Drosophila melanogaster: one gene and its partners. The protein of the gene in region 1 interacts with the protein of each later gene in a pairwise test. Each region holds a gene or a part of one and is shown on either strand. Other genes may lie near its edges.

Evidence for each region.
Region 2: the proteins of CG42369 (region 1) and CG1542 interact in a two-hybrid assay, tested with the Drosophila melanogaster proteins (one large-scale study listed by BioGRID).
Region 3: the proteins of CG42369 (region 1) and CG2604 interact in a two-hybrid assay, tested with the Drosophila melanogaster proteins (one large-scale study listed by BioGRID).
Region 4: the proteins of CG42369 (region 1) and Tpr2 interact in a two-hybrid assay, tested with the Drosophila melanogaster proteins (one large-scale study listed by BioGRID).

The regions. Positions count from the first base shown.
Region 1 is NT_033779.5:6,394,993-6,399,261, forward strand, and holds CG42369 (uncharacterized protein), read right to left. Parts: upstream 2,258-4,269; 5' UTR 2,102-2,257; coding exon 896-2,101; 3' UTR 861-895; downstream 1-860.
Region 2 is NT_033777.3:31,211,545-31,215,309, forward strand, and holds CG1542 (uncharacterized protein), read left to right. Parts: upstream 1-1,913; 5' UTR 1,914-1,999; coding exon 2,000-2,065; intron 2,066-2,127; coding exon 2,128-2,211; intron 2,212-2,269; coding exon 2,270-3,043; 3' UTR 3,044-3,240; downstream 3,241-3,765. Other genes in the region: zwilch, read right to left, coding at 1-24, 86-581, 639-1,745; CG15561 (uncharacterized protein), read right to left, coding at 3,264-3,765. UniProt on the Drosophila melanogaster protein: Required for the processing of the 27S pre-rRNA.
Region 3 is NT_033777.3:5,220,784-5,225,412, forward strand, and holds CG2604 (uncharacterized protein), read right to left. Parts: upstream 2,583-4,629; 5' UTR 2,467-2,582; exon of another isoform or gene 2,364-2,466; 5' UTR 2,349-2,363; coding exon 1,056-2,348; 3' UTR 849-1,055; downstream 1-848. Other genes in the region: CG1116 (uncharacterized protein), read left to right, coding at 1-508; CG14664 (uncharacterized protein), read left to right, coding at 3,372-3,626.
Region 4 is NT_033779.5:16,489,262-16,494,588, reverse strand, and holds the start of Tpr2 (tetratricopeptide repeat protein 2), read right to left. Parts: upstream 3,050-5,327; 5' UTR 2,678-3,049; coding exon 2,538-2,677; intron 1-2,537. Other genes in the region: Nepl8 (Neprilysin-like 8), read right to left, coding at 4,474-4,940, 4,994-5,327.

The DNA of each region.
Region 1 (4,269 bases):
CAACATAAAAATGTATATATTCATAAAAACCCCAACTTCTCATCCTTTCTTGAGAAGAGTTATCATTATTGTAGTGAGAATTTAAAGAATTCTTTTTTCACACATGCAAAAGTCTGCCTTTTGTAACAACATATATCAGATAATTTTTTGCCTTTTACAGAAGCAAATTGAACTTGACACTGTGTTCTAAATAATAAAAGAATATCAACTTTCGCACTTGATTTTGTCATATAAAAGCTATCGTATGACCACAGAACAGCTGCATAACATAGCAACCACCATGTCTGCTATTCGGGATGGCTATACCACCATGTCGTCCTTTTTTTGACGGCTAACTGTGCCACGGAAACTTCTGCTGCACCGGCAACTCATTTAAGTTCTAATCACCTGCAACGACGACAATTAATTAGCTGGCTTTGGCCAACGACAGCGGCAGCAGCAGTCATTAGTCTGAAGGCCCATCGGTACCACAAGGGAGCCATGATGCTGCAGCTTCAGCTGGAGCTGAAGCAGGAGCAAGAGTTGAATCCTTAGAGCCCTGGCAGCATCTGATAAACAACGAGCAGTGGCAACACCAGGAGAAGCAACACTAACGGCAACATCTGCATAATGCGGCAAAAGGAAGTTGCTGTCCGCTCACCCCGAAGATGTGGAAAGGTGTTCCTGGACGATACTTAAGCGAAATCAGATGCGGCAGACGGATATTAAAAGCAGGCGACAACCGCAGGAACTGGCAAAATGTAATTATGTTGTGAAACTTGTCCTTTCAAACGCTGTCAATTGCAGCACAGGCGATGTCTTCAATATAAGATATTAGTATGTGGAACTATATAGCCAAAAGCACGCAACTCTCATCATTTAAGTAGCAAAGTTTGGTTTTATTATAAATGTCATCTCATCTTAGCTCATTGCACTTGGCCCGGATCATGTTGAAGGTAACCGTGCCGACGCTTTGTGCCGCGTTGTGGAGCAGCTCAAAGATGTGCCGGTTGCGCTGACCCTGCTCCACGGTCCGCTCGTGCAAGCGACGCAGTGCGTCCGAGTAGGCCGTGTACTTGGCCTCGCACTCCGTGTCCAGCTTGAAGACCTGATACAGCTGCTGCAGATCGTACAATTGGCGTGCGGTCTCGTCGTATAGCAAACTGGGTGACTGTGGCAACAGCTGCTCCCAGTGCTCGTGCACCAGGTCTAGGAATTCAAAATTGCTAAAAAGAAAGATGACGAACAGGTCCAGTCCCTTGGTCTTCAGCTGGGCGAGAAGATGTTCGGTGATGTGCTCGCTGCTCGATGTGTCCCGCATCTCCTCGTAATCGGTGCGCAAGTGGTGCTCCAGGTACGCATACACCCGTTGACGTTTCTCGAAGAAGTCCTCCGTGGCAAGCATGACGTCCAGCTGCTGCTGCATCTTGTCCAGCTTGGCACTGCTCCCGGCCAGATCAGCATGGTCACCGTCGATGATGTCCTGCAGCAGGGAACGCAGTATGTGCAGGTAGTTGTCGATGATTTCGGCGCCGGATAACTTGACCCGCTCGTACAGCTGCGCCCCGAACTCATTGAGATCCAAGCCGGTGGAGTTCACCTCCTTTTTGGTCAGATTGAGTTGCCCCAATGCCGCCCCGACTGTCTGTTCGTTGATCAGGCGACTGCCGCGATGAGGAGCCGGTCGGTCAAGTTGCTGGCAGAGGCGGTGCATGCGCATCATTCGGATCTCTTGTGTGCTAGTCTCCTCGGCAGCCCTCAGCGTGGATCTGACTCGGTTCAGAAAGACCAGGTTGCGCAGCACAATGGTGTACTCCATATCCGTGTCCAGGTGCGGACGCACGTCGAGCAGCTGCTTGATGAGCGTCACCTTCAATTGAAGCTTTGGTGTTGCGCGAGCTGCACTCATCTCTTCGGTGTAGTTGGCATTCCGAGGAATGCGTCCTAGACGATCCAGGTAGTCGTTGAGACTCGGTTCAATCCGCTGTTGCACCAGGTCGCTTAACTCGCGCAGAAGCTCCAGCTGGAAGTCCTTCACACCAAGATCCAGCTGGGGAGCAACAGGATCCGCCTGCATGAGCGGCAAGAGGCACACCCATGGCAGCCACCACTCGATCATCATCTTAGAGGGAGCTGGCTCCAACTGATTTTGATTGCAGAAACTGCGTTGTTGTCGCCGCCAGTTGGCTGATTAGACGAAGGGGCTTAGATTGGGGTCAGTAGTCAAGTCGGTGATGCGGTTAGTTCGTCTGATATGCCAAGCCGACCACTGACGATTAACCAGTGCGAAAGCGAACTGCGCTCAGTTCGACAGCCTTATCGCTACGGAGCTGGCACTGAGAGAAATAATGGGTAATCCAATTCGTGCAAATTATATTATATTTTATTTTCTGCTAATAATCGAACGCAAATTAAGGACAGCGAAAATAAGAAAGGAAAGAGTTCAGCGCTGATTACAATTCCTCTGTCAGAAACCAGCACAATTTAATACATAACTTTTTATTTGAAGGTAATGCATTTTTATCCTTTCCCCATTTCGACAACTATTGTTCGTCGAAAGGGCATTAGTGGCAACAACTGACTGGTGAATCGGGATAGGATTGAATGAGGGAATCGATTCGCTGTAACCTGGTGCCCGTGCAACTGCAAATGGCCAGGACATTGGTCCCTACAATGTATCAAATAGTCAGCGCTCCTTCCCAATTTGTCTGTGCGGGCAATTGTTGACCGAACTCAAACTGAGCGCGTGTGCGGGATACCTATCACAAGTTAGCTTAAAGTTGCAGACTGCAGACTGCTGCCATTTGACGACAGAACTTCAGCGGAATCCCAAATGGGATGTGGCATGAATCCACATGGATTCCAAATCAGCGATGCTCGTCGTTCTTCATTCTATGGCGCAGCTTGATTGAAGTTCGTCAAATTGATTGAACTCATGCCACTTCCCCTTTGCCAACTTTTAGCGAAAACACTTGATTTCGATTTCGTTCGAACATTTCTGTGCATTAGCCTTTAATATTCGATCAAAGGGTATCTGCAACCGCATAATGGCCAACACCTTTTAAGACGAAACCCAAAACGCAAAAAAAAACTATGGAAACGGTTTGGCAAAGAGCGTAAAAATGGGGAAAAATGGTTAAGAAAAAATGAAAGGCACACCGATAAAGTTTTTAGGAAAAAAAAAAATGTAAGAAAAAATAAAAGATACCAAAAACCTGAAGAAGAAATTTTCCAACAATTGCACAATTGGCATGGGCTACGCATTCGCTTCAATGGCGAACGACCAAGACACTTTGATTCAAACTGTGGCCAAGGACAAAGGATTTCTGGAGGACGAAAGCCAAGGAGTCATGGCTGGAGGAACGGCTGCCCTCCACATTGCTGGCACTTAAGTGACAAAATCTATTCGCAAGAAAGTCATCTGGTTAGGGTATCTACTAGCCCATAGAGCTTTGCTCCGGTCACTCATGGTCGGTCATTTTATTCTTATACTTCGCCAGTGATGCCTTTGAGAAAAACTTTGCCACTTTTTCCATCATCGCCGACAGTTTTCCTTTTTTTTTTTTTTGTCTTTCTGTTTTTTCGGTAACAAAGCCGAAACTAAACTTTCCAGCGCTTTGCCAGACGGGTGGAAATTCTCGCTGGCCAGGGGCGTGAAAAGCGCTAAAAGCGTTTTAATGATTTTAAAGGAGTTAAACTTTTGTTTTTTTCAAAACACTTCTTATGCGCTTTCTTCATTGTCCGAAAAAATTGCTCTTCTTTTTGAACAATTGTTTTGGTTATACTGTGCTTTGATTTTATCGCTCATCCCGCGCGTTGACCGAGCATCATTCTAAGTTACATTCTAAGTTGTGCTCTTTTATATGAATAAATACCCTGTACTCCTAGAGGCATTGGGTATGCACACATCTATATCCAATAAAGATGTTGGACAGTCATCTGTATAAGAGAATTTTAAGTTCTTTCAGCTACATTACTTGGGATCAGAATTCCCAAAGTAAATACAAATGCGAAAAGTACTTAATGCAAGATTTCATGATTTCCATTTAAATCGAAGATATTGTCATAAAATTATCTCAGTGTATTTATCTGTCCTTCTATTTTGCTTCATTGTTTACTCAACTTGACAGATTAAGTAAATGCTTGAGGGGCCAATATAGAGCATCGCACATACATATATTTATCAACTGTGCATTTTCTATCTCAAAAGTGCGAACTTTAAGCTTTATGGAAAAAATAAGTTTGTCTGTAGCATTAAACCGAAGGAGGCACTCCATCAAACCCATGGAG
Region 2 (3,765 bases), on another chromosome or scaffold:
ATTCAGAACAGACATCGTTGTAAACTGTAGGTCAAAAACGGAGTTATAGCTAAAAATCCCAGGATCTGCTTTTTGTCCTTCTTACCATTTGCCAGATTTAAGTGGATGTGCATCATCAGGAGATGCTCTAAGGTGCAGTGAATCTGAAACAACTTTGAGATTCTCTCCGTACTCTCGTGCTCGTCGAAATGGCTGTTTTTGAACCCAGCATCATCGTCGCTACCGGCATATTTTGTACTCCGCGAATTGACAGCGCCGTGATGATGCAGCAGCGTCTTTCGCATTCCAGCTCCAGGGGTCGGATCACCCCTGACCGCATTGTGCAGGGATTTTCGAAGCTGGGGCAGATTCTGGGGAGAACCATCGTCCATCGACGCTCCGCTGGAGTCATCCTTCAACAGATTGGTGCTGCACATCTTGCTCTCGGTGTAGATAAACTCGTAGTCCTTGTACAACTTCTCCAGGCCAATTTCCAAAAGCAGTTCCAGAGGCTCGGCCCCACTTAAACAAGGCATGGCCAGACGACGGTTGGCCAACTCGGTGATAATCTTGGCAAGTCGATTTTTGTTAGTAGGCGTGTTCTATGGGGTGAGGAACATGAATAATATGTGGTGGTTTGCATGCATTAGCATACTTACTACTATGTTACACCGTGCAGCACATTGGAAGAGCATACTAAAGGCAATTTTGAGATCCTTGTAGGAGTGGCAGCACTTGAGCAGCTCCCAAAGCTTATCGGTTAGATCCGTGAGCTGGCGAACCTTGGCCCTCTGCACCACATCTTCGATGTCAAACTCCGCATTGCTGATGCTATACCGACCTATAAGGCCAGAGACATCTGTCATTGTCTGATTAATGGACTCGCGCAGCTCGTCCATGTCAATGCCACTGCCACAACGATAGGTGGGATCCCGAGAGACGCCCTGCTTGACATCCGTGTGGTAGGAGACGATGTCCTCGCGTATGTAGACCAGAATGCGCAGCTGATTCATAAAGTCCTGCGTCAAAGGACCGCAGTCGCCCACGCGAAAAGTGTGATTCAAAGCCACATCGCAGTCGTTCAGGTTCACCAGGAGCGGAAGTGCAGCACTAGAGGTCCAGGAGCAGCGTAGTCTCATGTGGGGATTGACCTGGTAGCTATTTTCAATGAGAGTTTCATCCGGTGTCTTGCCATGATGGCGCACCAGGGCTTGCGAGGTTACTAAGTAAGCAGGGCGCACACCCTGGTAGCTAAGTATTCCCCTGGAGAAGTGCGTAGGGTTGAACTCGTACTGGAGCAACTGAGTCTGCCCGAGATCACTGCCGTCGCACAAAAACCACACGGATCCGAGTCCCTCGGCCAGCTGCAGGAACTCGGAGCACACGATGGACCTAGCCTTGTCCACGGGTATTCCGCGTTGATATTCCTCCTCCAGCTTCCAGGGATTCGAGTGATCCAGCTGCAGGTCGATGGACAAGTCGGCTATGGCGTCCACCAGGCAGTCGTCCTTCAAAGGACTTCCCGTCAGATCCAAGTCCGCAGAGCCCTCTTTTTTTGGGGCTGCCCTGGTGGGCGTGGTCCGGAGTCTCGCCACTGCTCCATTGCGATCCTCCTTAAAGACCAGCACAATCTTCTTGCCAGCTTCCGCAGCCCCCACCATGCTCACCAAGTAGGTGGGTGGCGCTCCATAGGTGATCGTGTATGACTCGCCACACCGCCGCATTAGCTCCGCGTAAACGTTTGCCAAGTTCGCAGAAGCCGACATTTTTGGAGCAAATTCGCAAAACAGAAACAAAAAGCGGCAGTATTTGAAAAGCGAAGCGAGAATTGGTTAAACGGTCACACAGCACTTCGCTTTTTAGTGCACCTCAATAATTTTAGCAGTAAGCCGCGTGAAGGTCACACTGCAACATCGATAGCCGATAGACTTAGGCCAGCAACAATCGATAATTCTTATCCCCGCACGTGTTGAAATTGTTTTCTTTTATTTGGATCAGATTTAATTTAGTTAATTCAGACATGTCGGACTTTGAAATGGAGGACAGTGCCTCGGGCTACGACTCAGGGGATAACTCAGATGCCGAGGTAAGTGAGGAACCGAAGAAATGAACACCCCGTATACCAAAATCTCCACTCTTTTCCTGCAGCTGCAAGCGGCATTTGAGCGAGGCGACTTGAAACCAGGCCTAAATGTGGAATTCAATGGCCAGAGAGACAAAGTGAACGATGTGGTAAGTAGCTAGCTGGATGCCCGCTTTTGAATCGACTAATCCAATCCTGCCCACATAGACCAAACTGCTGGCCAAGACAGAGGCTATCAAGATGCAACTGCCTTGGCTGGAACGCCTGGACATGATCAACACACTAGCTCCACTGGCGCCGGAACTCGCTGTACAGCTGGAGAAGCACGAGCAGAAGCGGGCCAATCTCTTCAAGGGCAACGCCAAGCTGCCCTACATTCGGCCCGAGGAGGATCCCGTCCTGAATGACTTCAAGAGGGAGATGCTCTTCCACCGACAGGCGCAAAGTGCTGTTCTGGAGGCCATTCCCCGCCTTCACGAGCTGGGCATAAAGACTCGTCGACCCGATGACTACTTCGCTGAAATGGCCAAGTCCGACGAGCACATGCAGAAGGTGCGCGCCAACCTGATGGCCAAACAGCAAGGACAGGCGAAATCCGAGCGCATCAAGCAGATCCGCGAGCAGCGCAAGATGGGCAAGATGCTGGCCAAACAGACCAAGGTCCAACGCGAAGCCGAGAAGAAGGACATGCTGGACAAACTGAAGAAGTTCCGCAAGGGCAAGCTGAAAAACCTGGACTTCCTGGAGGACGCCAAGGCGCTTGAGTCCAAGCAGAAGCAGTCAGCCGAGAATCGCAAGAAGCGCAACAAGAAGTTCGGCTTCGGCGGCAAGAAGAAGGGCCTCAAGAGGAACACAAAGTCCTCCTCCGCGGGATTGGATGGCGACAAGTCCTCCAGGCGCCAGCGGGGCGTAAAGGCAGGTGCTTCGGTCAACAAGCGGCTTGGCAAATCGCGACGCATTAAGGCCAAGGGCAGAAAGTAATCCCCGGGACTGCCGACTATATTTAGGTGACCAAACTCTAGTTTTATAAAGCCCCCAATCCTGTATAGATTTTTTAGACCCATAAATACATAACATTTTGTGTGCACACAGCCTTACTTTCGAAATGTGGAATACTCCGTATAGAATTTTAGAATTCCATGAGCAATTTTCATAAATTACATTTTTCTAACATCGTTTATTCTAAAGTGGACTATAACTATTACACGTTCTCCTTGTTCTTTCGTTTCTTTTTTAGTTTTGTGCTAGTTTCCGATTCCTCCGAAGAGTCCGCCGTTTTTCGCTTCTTTTTTGACTTTACTTGTTCATCAGTTTCAACATCCTGGGGCAGTCCTTCAGTTGCTCCAAGCCCTGCTTGCCTATCCGCTCTCTTGTCCTTCTTCTTTTTTATCTTCACTGGCTCTTCGACTTCCACACCGTCTTCCTCTCCCGGCTCCCGTGTCTTATTTTTTTTCCTCTTGATCTTGACGGGATCTTCTGGAGTTTGATGTGCTGGGGATTCCTTTCCTGCCTTCTCAGCCTTGTCTTTCTTCTTTTTCTTGGATTTTATGGGCTCTTCCAGTTGGGAAACCTCACATGCCTCGGAAAACTCCTCCGCTATGGATTTTTTCTTTTTCTTTGCCTTCGTATCACACTGCTCCACACTGTCATCAACTGACTCCACTGCTCGATGCTCGGTTTCAGGCGTAGTCTTCAGCTTGCGC
Region 3 (4,629 bases), on another chromosome or scaffold:
GCAGGAGCTTTCCATCCGACCGCAACCAGTGCAAAATCACCAGCTGCAGTCGCAATCCTCGACGGGCGATGATGTCTCCTCGATGAACTCCTTTGATATGGCCAGCATAGCTAGCGGAGTGTTGGCAGATAACCTCCACAAGTCGGCCACATCGGCTAGCTCAAAGGTTAAGGAGGCGCCTGAGCCAACCGGGAAACTTTCGACCATTTCCACCTCCCACCAAGTGTGCTACGCAACGCTGCAGACCCAGGTCGTGGTACCCATTCCGCTGCACGTAACACCCACATTCCGCACAGACCTCGTCGACGTGCGATGGCGATTGCATTTCGAGTTTGTGACCACAACTTTGATTGACTTTGGCATTCCGAATCCGGAGTCCGGCGAGCTAAAAGCACCGTCTGAAATGCCCGTGGAGACGATGGTATGGAATCTGCCCGTGACCGTCTACGCTGCGAATCCTCTCCAGATTTATGCTCCAAACCAGACATTCAACCTGCTTATAAAGTAATAGCACTTCAGTTAACTGTGTTCTCTTGATGGAAGTAAGTAGTAAGAAGTATTGTATTAATATATTGGAGAACTAATCCAAAGGGTTTCTCACTTTTAAGGCTATATAAGGCCGTTTAGAAAGAGCAAACGAAAGCAACAAGTCGATTACGGTTCCTTTTAAAAACTTCTGAAACCCAATCCCCTCTTACGTCTTTGTAAAATACAAAAATCTTAATTAAAATTTAGTCGAATATACGAATCAAACCGCTTGAAATCAGAAAGTCATGTTCATAGCGACTTGCACCTGGCGATGTTAGCCAAGATAATATTTACATTTTAAGGTAGGAAAATCTGTTTTTCGCATCTTAATTTATTCTGAGGTGCAAAATTCACTGAATTAGATCTAACCCGTTTCGCCTGGACTTTGAAATCGGCAACAACAGCAGCGGATGTGGGGGTTAGTTTAATAAGTGCTTATATAATTACAGTTCAAACCGCGAGTAACAAACAGCCAAGTAAGGTGATTAAAAGAGAGCCGCTGGGAGGGAGAAGTGCGATTCTGGACATTACTTGTTGGCCAGAATCTCAAACTTGATGCCGTGGTCGTGCTTCTCCAACTCGCTAATTAGTCCGGTCTTAGAGAAGGCGGCAGCTGGAGGCAGCACTCCGCCTGTGCTGGGCATCTTGTCCGACTCACGAAGAATGGTCAGTGCCGCTGAGAGCACAGCCACGCAGGTGGCTCCATATCCGGGATTCATGCCCGATACGCGGACCATCAGCGTCTTGGTCGGGGACTCCGTGTATTGGTTTGAACTCTCGGCCAGGCGATCGCTCTTAAGCCAGCCACTGGCCTTAAAAGTCATCTTGAAATAGGTGCGCTCCATTGACTCCTCACTTGGGCCGGAACGAGAGGCCAATCCGCCGGAGAAGAGACCGGGGTAATTGAGCAGCAGCGTACGTCCCAGCTTGAACTTTGACAGCAGACCGAAGATGGTGGCAAAAAAGATGACACCGCCGGCGACCAGCCAAGACGAAAATCCCACGTAGGCCTGCATCTGGACCGGACGTTTCTTGTCCTGGTCGTAGAGGAAGCGCTGGGACCTCATTACCACCGAGCGGTCGGAGCCGGGAAAAGGTAGACACACCTTGTCAACCTCGGTAGAGCGGAAGACCAGCGGTCGTGGCTTGAGAAAGGGATAGAATCTTGGCAGTCTCTGGGGATAGATCTGCTTCCGGATGCCGCGCAGCTCGTCAGAGTGAGCTAGCCCGTAAACGGCGCTCTCCCAGGTTCCGTAGTTGAGGCCGGCAGTGCCTCCGCCACTGCCGCCTTCTTTGATTCCGGTCTCCAGGAAGGTCTCCACGGAGTTCACCACGCCGTCGAAGTTTTTTTCCACAAAGACGACGCCCATGTCGGCGGGTATGGAGTCAAAGCCGCAGGCGCTGACCACGTACACGCCCTTTTCCCTGGCCAGCTGATCGTACCTCAGCTGCATGGTCTCCATGTACTGGGGCTCGCCGCTAACATCCACATGGTGCGTGCCCGATTCGATGCAGCACTTCACGACGTTTTCGCCGTGAAAGCGGTAGGGTCCTGCCGTGTTCACCACAATCCGGCACTTTTTCGCCATCTCAAGCAGGGAGGCCTGGTCGTTGACGTCCGCGATGAAGATGGGCACCTGCGAGAGGTCCTTCTTGGCCTTGGCGCCCATCTCCTTCAACACCGCCTCCAGCTTCTCGCGGTTCCTGCCAGCGATGCCCCATCGCAAGCCGCGCAGCACCGTGACCGCCTCGAAGACCGTGTACTTGCCGGTGAAGCCACTGGCCCCAAAGATAATCACATCCAGTCGATCGCCAGACATTTCGCCGTAAGTCGCCTTCAAAGATTCGATGTCAGATTGCGCGATATTGCGATATCACTGGAATCGCAGCTGCGACTTAGCACGCTGTATGGTATGGAGTAGATAAACGACCGCTCACCTGTATCGCTGTCTACTGATTCCGCCTACTGAGCTGCTAATCGGCGTTCTTATTCAGTTAATTCAAATACACATGCATCGTGTACGTATGTAGGTGGAAAATCCAACCGGCCAAAGTCGAAGCTCTTCTGAATGGAGTTAGGGGTATTCCTGCAAGCGTCTAATGGCCCGACTTCACTGATTCTAAGGATTGAAGGAGTGTTTTCACCGTCTGAAATTTGTTTGAGTCTGGCTGTGAATGGTCAATTCGATTTATTTGTGATCTTTTGTGACTATGACTCAAAAATGTCATTCAGTGGGAGAGCTATCAGTGAGCTTAATGAAATTAACAGATTAACTTTCTAAATTAGTCTAATCACTTGTGATAGAATGCTTATGTAAGCGTTCCCCTGCCATGCCATTGGATGCATTCAAAATACGAAATATCTATGTCGGAATCACTATACCTATTCTATTTAATTTACTCTGCAAGATGTAGGGAGGATGAAATACGATTCGTTTCTTGGTCAGAGGGTGGAAACTCTGCCTCATAACTTTATGAGCTGTTAAGATTCGAATTGAAGGAGATTTTCGCTTTGTCTTTTTCTTTATACTTGTCGTTCAAAACTTGTGCTATGTACATCAATTACAATTACAAAATGAACATTTTGATATCACATTTTGAAGTGTGAGCTTCGAACTGAAGACTGTGGCCATTAACATTCCGCACGCCAATTCCAGTTATTCAAAATAACGATACTGCCTAACCGGTTGAACGGACACGAGCAGAGCAGATGCGGTAAGCCAATTGCAGATCAATCACCCGATGCTTGGGGAAGGTAAGAGACTTCCGGAATTTCCTGGATAAGTATAAAGTGTGAAGCTAACAGTGGGACACCAGCATTCTCCAAGCTGCATCAACTCAAAATGAGGCTGCATCTTATACCACTGGTTGGACTCCTTGCACTGATTATGGCCCAATCCCAAGTACTCCTACCGGGACTTCGCGTGCGACAGGTTCCCGTGCTCGAAATGGGCCAGATTCCAGTGGTGCAGTACCTGGACGCGGCCTCCACAGTCACTCCAGAGCTGGTAAAGGATCAGTTCAGCAGGCGATTCACTACGCTGGCCAAACCCTTGGTCAGTGGTGCTGCTCCCCAAACCAGTCTCCCAAATTTGTAATTTATTGTTACCGCCTAAGAGTCCATTTGATAAGCGAATATATACATAAATATTAAAGTTACGTCTTTATGCCATTAACTCTAGTTGCTAAATAACCTTGTAACCTACTTTAAATTGTACTTAATCTATTAAGAAAGAACTTTAAAATCGGGTAAAATTACCAACACGCACAGTTGGTGGTATGCATACACATTTTAATATCGAATAGAAACAAAATATTCCCAACATCCTGACCTTTAAACAAGAGAATATCAGGATCCTCGAATATTAGAGCAACAAAATTGGTCACGATTAAGACCACAGAAGTTTGTGTTAACGTGGGATCTTAAATTGACTACAATAGCTCGAATTTAAAAATAAATTGTGCCTAATCTTATAGAGTATTGAAATCGCGTTAGTAATTATAAGGACTGCCCGTTTACGTGCTGGCTAATAATATAAATATTTCGAAAAAGTCATATATCCAGTACCAGTCCTTCTGGCAGAGCCACCTGTTCTTCCAGTCGAATTTGGACAACGTCTGACTGTGACGCAGTTCACCAACGAGACTTCTTCGAACGACTTGTTACTGCAAGACTGCTCCATGGTGCAAGACTTGCGATATTTTATGTCGAGTTTATTCATTCGGATTATATGGATCTCTCTGAAGTTCTCTGACTATCGCGTAAATGACAATTAGAACAACTAGAAACCATCGACAAAGGAAGAAACCAATATCCAAGCGATGAGCTTTAGAAATTGTGTAATTCCAACAGCTCAGATAAGTTGGCTAACTTGGCTGTTATGCAAGTTAAAGTATCTGATACTCGCCATCGGTCGCTTGCTACCATGGAATCATCTGCTAGATCAGACACGATGATCCTGCATCTCGTTTGATCCTGCAAGCGGGATACAACGAAACAGCACCCCAAGCTCGGTGGTGGAGAAAACGAAAGACACGATTCGAGAAACTACAACCCATCCACCGAAGTTGGGCAATCTAGCCCACAATCGAAGCGGATGG
Region 4 (5,327 bases), about 10 Mb from region 1:
GGCCAATAAATAGAACAAAGTGCTATCCAAACTGTAGTTCCAGATAACGAGCAACAGTTTTCCAAATGGCAAAGGAAATATATGCAAAGGAAGTATATGTTTTTCATGTTTTTTTATGTTTTATGTTATGTTTTTTTATAAGTAAATCCTGAAAGGCAATCACAACAACGAGCTCTTTTTCTTTTTTCTTCTTATTCCAAGCAAAACTAAAACAAAAGTGCTGTAATGCCTAACAGATGTGATAAGGCTTTAATCTAATCACAAAACTTAAGCTCAAACTGTTATTACCTAAGCTAATTAAATGCTCAGCGATTTTTAAACTGTAACTAGAAAATATTAGCTTCAATAATTGAATACAATAATCGAGTAGGCAGGAACGATGCCTTGGCATTTGACCTTGAACTCAAAAACGGCCAAAATGTCACATCGGTATCTATATATAAGCGAAAGCAGTTCTTTTTCTTTTTACCAAGGCGAATAAAATCAATAGGCTGAATGCTGCAATTTTTCGGAATTTCTAATTTATCAACAGGTTGACTCATAGATGTAGATGTGCAAACGGGTTCCCTCATCATCTTCTCTCTTTCCCCCATCGTCATTATCGAGTTCCCAAGTAAGTGCAAACAACAAAAAAACAATAATAAACATCTTTTTTCCATGACTATGAGTCAGAGAAATTGTTCCGGCTTTTTTTGTTTAACTTCTTGTGCCCAGTCAGTCCTTGAACCCCAAAACGGCGAAATAATATTACTAATGGAATTTAGAAAAACGATGAAGGCCTAAGATATATGAGCGGAGCGTATGATTTTGCGCTTGGGTTCATTCACATTAAGTTTTATTTTGGCCAACTTTTGCGGTAGCTTTGTGTGTAGGTTGCCCCGAACTTTTGGCATTGTCTTGTGTTTCGGTTTTTTGGCGATGACTTTACTTGACTTTGAAACTCCTCCAGTTGATCGCATTTAGTTTTACACGCAAAACTGGTGGTCAATAGATTGTATCCCATTTAAGCCATCACCTGACGATTTCCCATACAAATCTTATCTATCCTCATTGGATTTCTTTCTGTATTTCATGCGATTAATCACAACAGGTGACGCAAATTCTAGCGTAGAGCAGAGAACGTAATAAGCGCCACAACAATGGCAAAAAGTATATCAATGCCAAAACAACGAAACTGAACTCGAATTTCCAAAAATTAAATAAATTCCCATTTTTCAATTAAGTGTCAGCTTCGATTACTCGTAAACACGGAAATAAATAAAATCGCGTCCGTTCAAATGCAAATAGCTGTTTAAATTTATTTTTCCTATTGTTTTTCCTCGACGCTTTTGTGTGGAAATACGGAAAACAAAAATAAACGTAAATGAAGCGTGCCAAAGACAAATTTATAACTGTTTATGTTGGCACATTTGCAATAATGTGCTCCATTTAAGCGGTTAATAATTCTACATAAATGAAAATGAAAAATTAGGGATTTTCTAGAGCAATGATGAAATTAAATTTAAATTACGTTATCATGGGCAATACTCTGTCCTTGACTTTAATCTCTAGTCACTCTAAAACTGTTACTTTAATGCCAGCTTGTGAGACCAAAGAGGCTCGAATCTCAAAATGTAACGTGCCCACACACACACACAGATAGACATTGAGAAACATTGGTGGGCAAACGGAAAGTAAAACCAGTTTCAAACAAGAACTAAACAAAGCGCACCTAGCAACAACAATGGCATTACAGTAGAACCTTCCTAAATCAAACATGTTTAATATCTCATTTCTAAATGTTTTTAACGGCGAAAGCTTTGACAATGAAAATTGCACTTAGCACTCAACCATGTTTGTATGAAAATGTAATTATATAATACAATGCTTTACAGGGAAACGTATGACGTATATAATAAACACAGATCTTTTCTACGGAATGCCCACTGTAAACTGCAGGGCGTGTGCGTTGGCGTCGCTGACGTTTTATATCTTGTTTTTGCTTTTTTTATCTATACTTATTTGCTACGTTTGGCTGCTGCCCATGACCATGCCAAATGGGTGCGACAAGACCGGGGCAATGCTACAGGGGGAGGGAGTGAGAGGTAGAGACCCGGGCAATAGATTACATAAAACCGAAATGCAAACAAAAACTTTAACACCTATGTATGTATGTACATAACTGTTATCGCACAGTTTGGCATTGACTGCAGTTTATATGTTTTCAACTAGCCGTTCTTATTGTTTGAAAATGTACTTAAAACATTTCAATTTCTTTTGCAGTTTTAGCACTTCTTACTATCATTAAATTACTATTTTCGAAACGAATATCGCAAATTTAAATTGAATTTTTATATCAAAATGCTTGGTTTATGTTCAGGAACTTTACAGCTACATAAATAATAATGCCAGATTTTTCCGCCTTTTCCTTATGTACACAATACTGTGCATAAACATAGCTACAGTTTTTAAGTAACTTGGAACCACATTCACAGACAGGCTGTTATCTCTGGTTTTAAAGCGACTGTGGAGATTTTCCCGTTTTTATTTTTACTTACGTTGCCGCGTCCTTGGGCACAATTTGCTCTGCTTTGACATCGATGGTTGGCTGTTCTGTCGTTATTTCCACATCCATTTCGGAGTTCGATGAGGTTTCTTCGCGTTCGCTGTCGCTAATTTCAATTACTTCGTCGTCCATGCGTGGCAATTACAAAATGAAAGAACACCAGCGACCAGAGTCCAGTGCTTGCAAAACGTTGTTATTTGTCAATTCCCCTTTATTCCACTGCTTTTTCGCTTTTGCGTCAATGGCAAGTAATTGTTCGTGTGTGTGTGCGCTTGCGTATGTATGTACGTCGCACGCGCGCCGTGTTAGAAATCCCCGATTTCTGGTGCCTTCGATGCGATTAACTTTCTTACGTCTCTTTCAGCAAATCACTTTATTCGCTGCGGCTTCCCTTTTAGTTGCCTATTTAGTTTTTAAACTTGAATTTTGTGTTTTGTATGGCCGAACGAACCGAGCACACGGAAAAAAGCGTGCCATGCGAAGTAGTGGTGGAACACAACTAGGGGTGTGCAAAAGGCTCAAGAGTAAAAATATATCGATAAATAAATATTTTTATCCTCACGTGTCGATGTTCCTCATGGACACAACAATATAAGTGGATTGTATATTAAGCAGCCTAATAATACCTGAATTATGCAAAGCAATGCGTGTTGGAGCTTAATCAAAATAAGATAAATCATCATTTGGGTCTGAAACCCTGCTAAGGGAAACATCTGTTGGATGTGAACTCGGCTATCGTGAGCACGCTTATCAGCTGATTACCAAGCGGAAATTCAGTGTTGATGAAAACTTCTTCTTGTTTTGACGTTCCGCGTGCGAAATTTAAAGTACCCTGTGTTCTTCAAAAACTAGATAATATCTTCGTTTCTTAATCGCAACTCTTTAATCCAAAATTAAAACCATTATTCCTAAGCTCTATCAAATCATCCAAATAAGATTGTAATCATTCGGCATGAAAAATCTGTTAAAAATTAGTTTGATTAGTACAAGTAAGGAAAAGTATTCATAAAGGTACATAATTAGTTTCCTCAAATTCTAGAATTCATTTCAGTCTATTGCTTAGTATATTTGTATGTATATTTATAAAAAAGGACGGAAACGGCAAATTTAATCTGAATTCCGACTGTATTTTGGAGATAATGAAATACGTTATTACGGATTGCCAGTTAAGAGAGATCCTGAGAATGACTACAATGATTTAATAAATTTTGTTCTGGCCGACGAATTCTTTGTCGAATTGCTTGCGGATTATCACAAGATCCTGAGCTGACTCTACTATGGAGGATCATAGTACTGGAAATAGATCTTCGAGTGAATAGGCAATCAAAAAACGAAAGTTGGAGAATCTGTTGGAATCTGTTGGTAACAAAAATCCGTTTGATATTCAACTGTGTTTTCAAGGCTCATACGTATAAATAACACTAAAAGGTAAAATATATTTTAACTTTAAACCTTTTGACGTCTGAATTATATTTGAATTGTATTTAATTTGTATTTTAAGACATTTCATCGGGCCGCACACACCACAAGTCGTTAAAAGTTGAATTTACTTTGTCAGCAAAGTTAACAATGTTCTAAAATCCATAAGAGATCCCGCAAATCAAAGACCGCTACATCTCAGTATATTAAGTGGATGGCCAGGCCCGAATGTAATGCATGTAAGTAACACACGTATAACTTTGTGTGTTTTTTTAATTTATAATAAATGGTAATCTTGCAGGTGCATGACATTGAAGAGTCAATCTTGAACGTTGTTTATTCGAATGATGATCATTTAACTATCTTAGCCTATTGACTATTGTTAGTTTAAAACTAATTTTAAAAGAACAGAATGGATGTGATTGTAACACTTTTATAATTTAACACGATTGTCTTGTATTATTGTTATCAAAAAATATGTATTTCTAAGCATATGTACAAGGTATTCACTATAAACGACACTTCTCGTGCTTAGGCTTATTGCGGTAGCACCCAAAAGCCTTGTCAAATGGCTCAAACCCTTCAATAGCTCGCTGTAAACGCACTTGATCTTCCTTGTACTGAACCAACATATCGCTATTGCCGCAGAAGAACTGGCCAACATTTAGGAAGAATATCTGCTCCGGTGGCAAATGGGTGAAATCCAAACGGTTTCGATTCTTGGCCATCTTAGCATAAGTAAAATAGGCCAGTTCTAAACCAGCAATATCGCCCATGCTTTCATCGATGTTCTCTGAATTGCGTGACAAGCAACTGACTGCTTCTTCGAAACGATGCGATCTAAATGATTGATCGTTTCCATCGCTGCCAATTGTAATGCCCTCGGTGGCAAAGGCGCTTATCAAGTGATGTGCCATAATATATCCCATCAGGCTGTATTTGAAGACATCTTCGCTTTCCAGCTGAAAGAATGGCTCTTGCAGTAGCCCAAGGGGGACAATAATCACATTGGGGCGCATCACATAGTACGAGGTGGAGGCAATGGCGCCGCTTGGCTCCTGTAAGTCAAAATATTCTGCTCCTCTGAGTGCCCTTTGCTGGATTGGGCCAACATCTTTTGGGTGCGAAACTGCAGCACCTTGAGGTGCTCCTGATGGTAATCCAGCTCGCCAGTGGGAAACTGCAAGTCTTGGTAGTACTGGCCGATGAAATGGCGAAGATCATCGGTTTTTGGAAGATTCACAACGTTGATCTCAATTGCCTCTGCCTTTCGAACGAAAAATTTCATCTGCAAAGCAGTCAACTCTAGATGATTTTGATCGACTTGCAGCAGAAACTGATGGCGTAGTTTCTCGAAAATGTC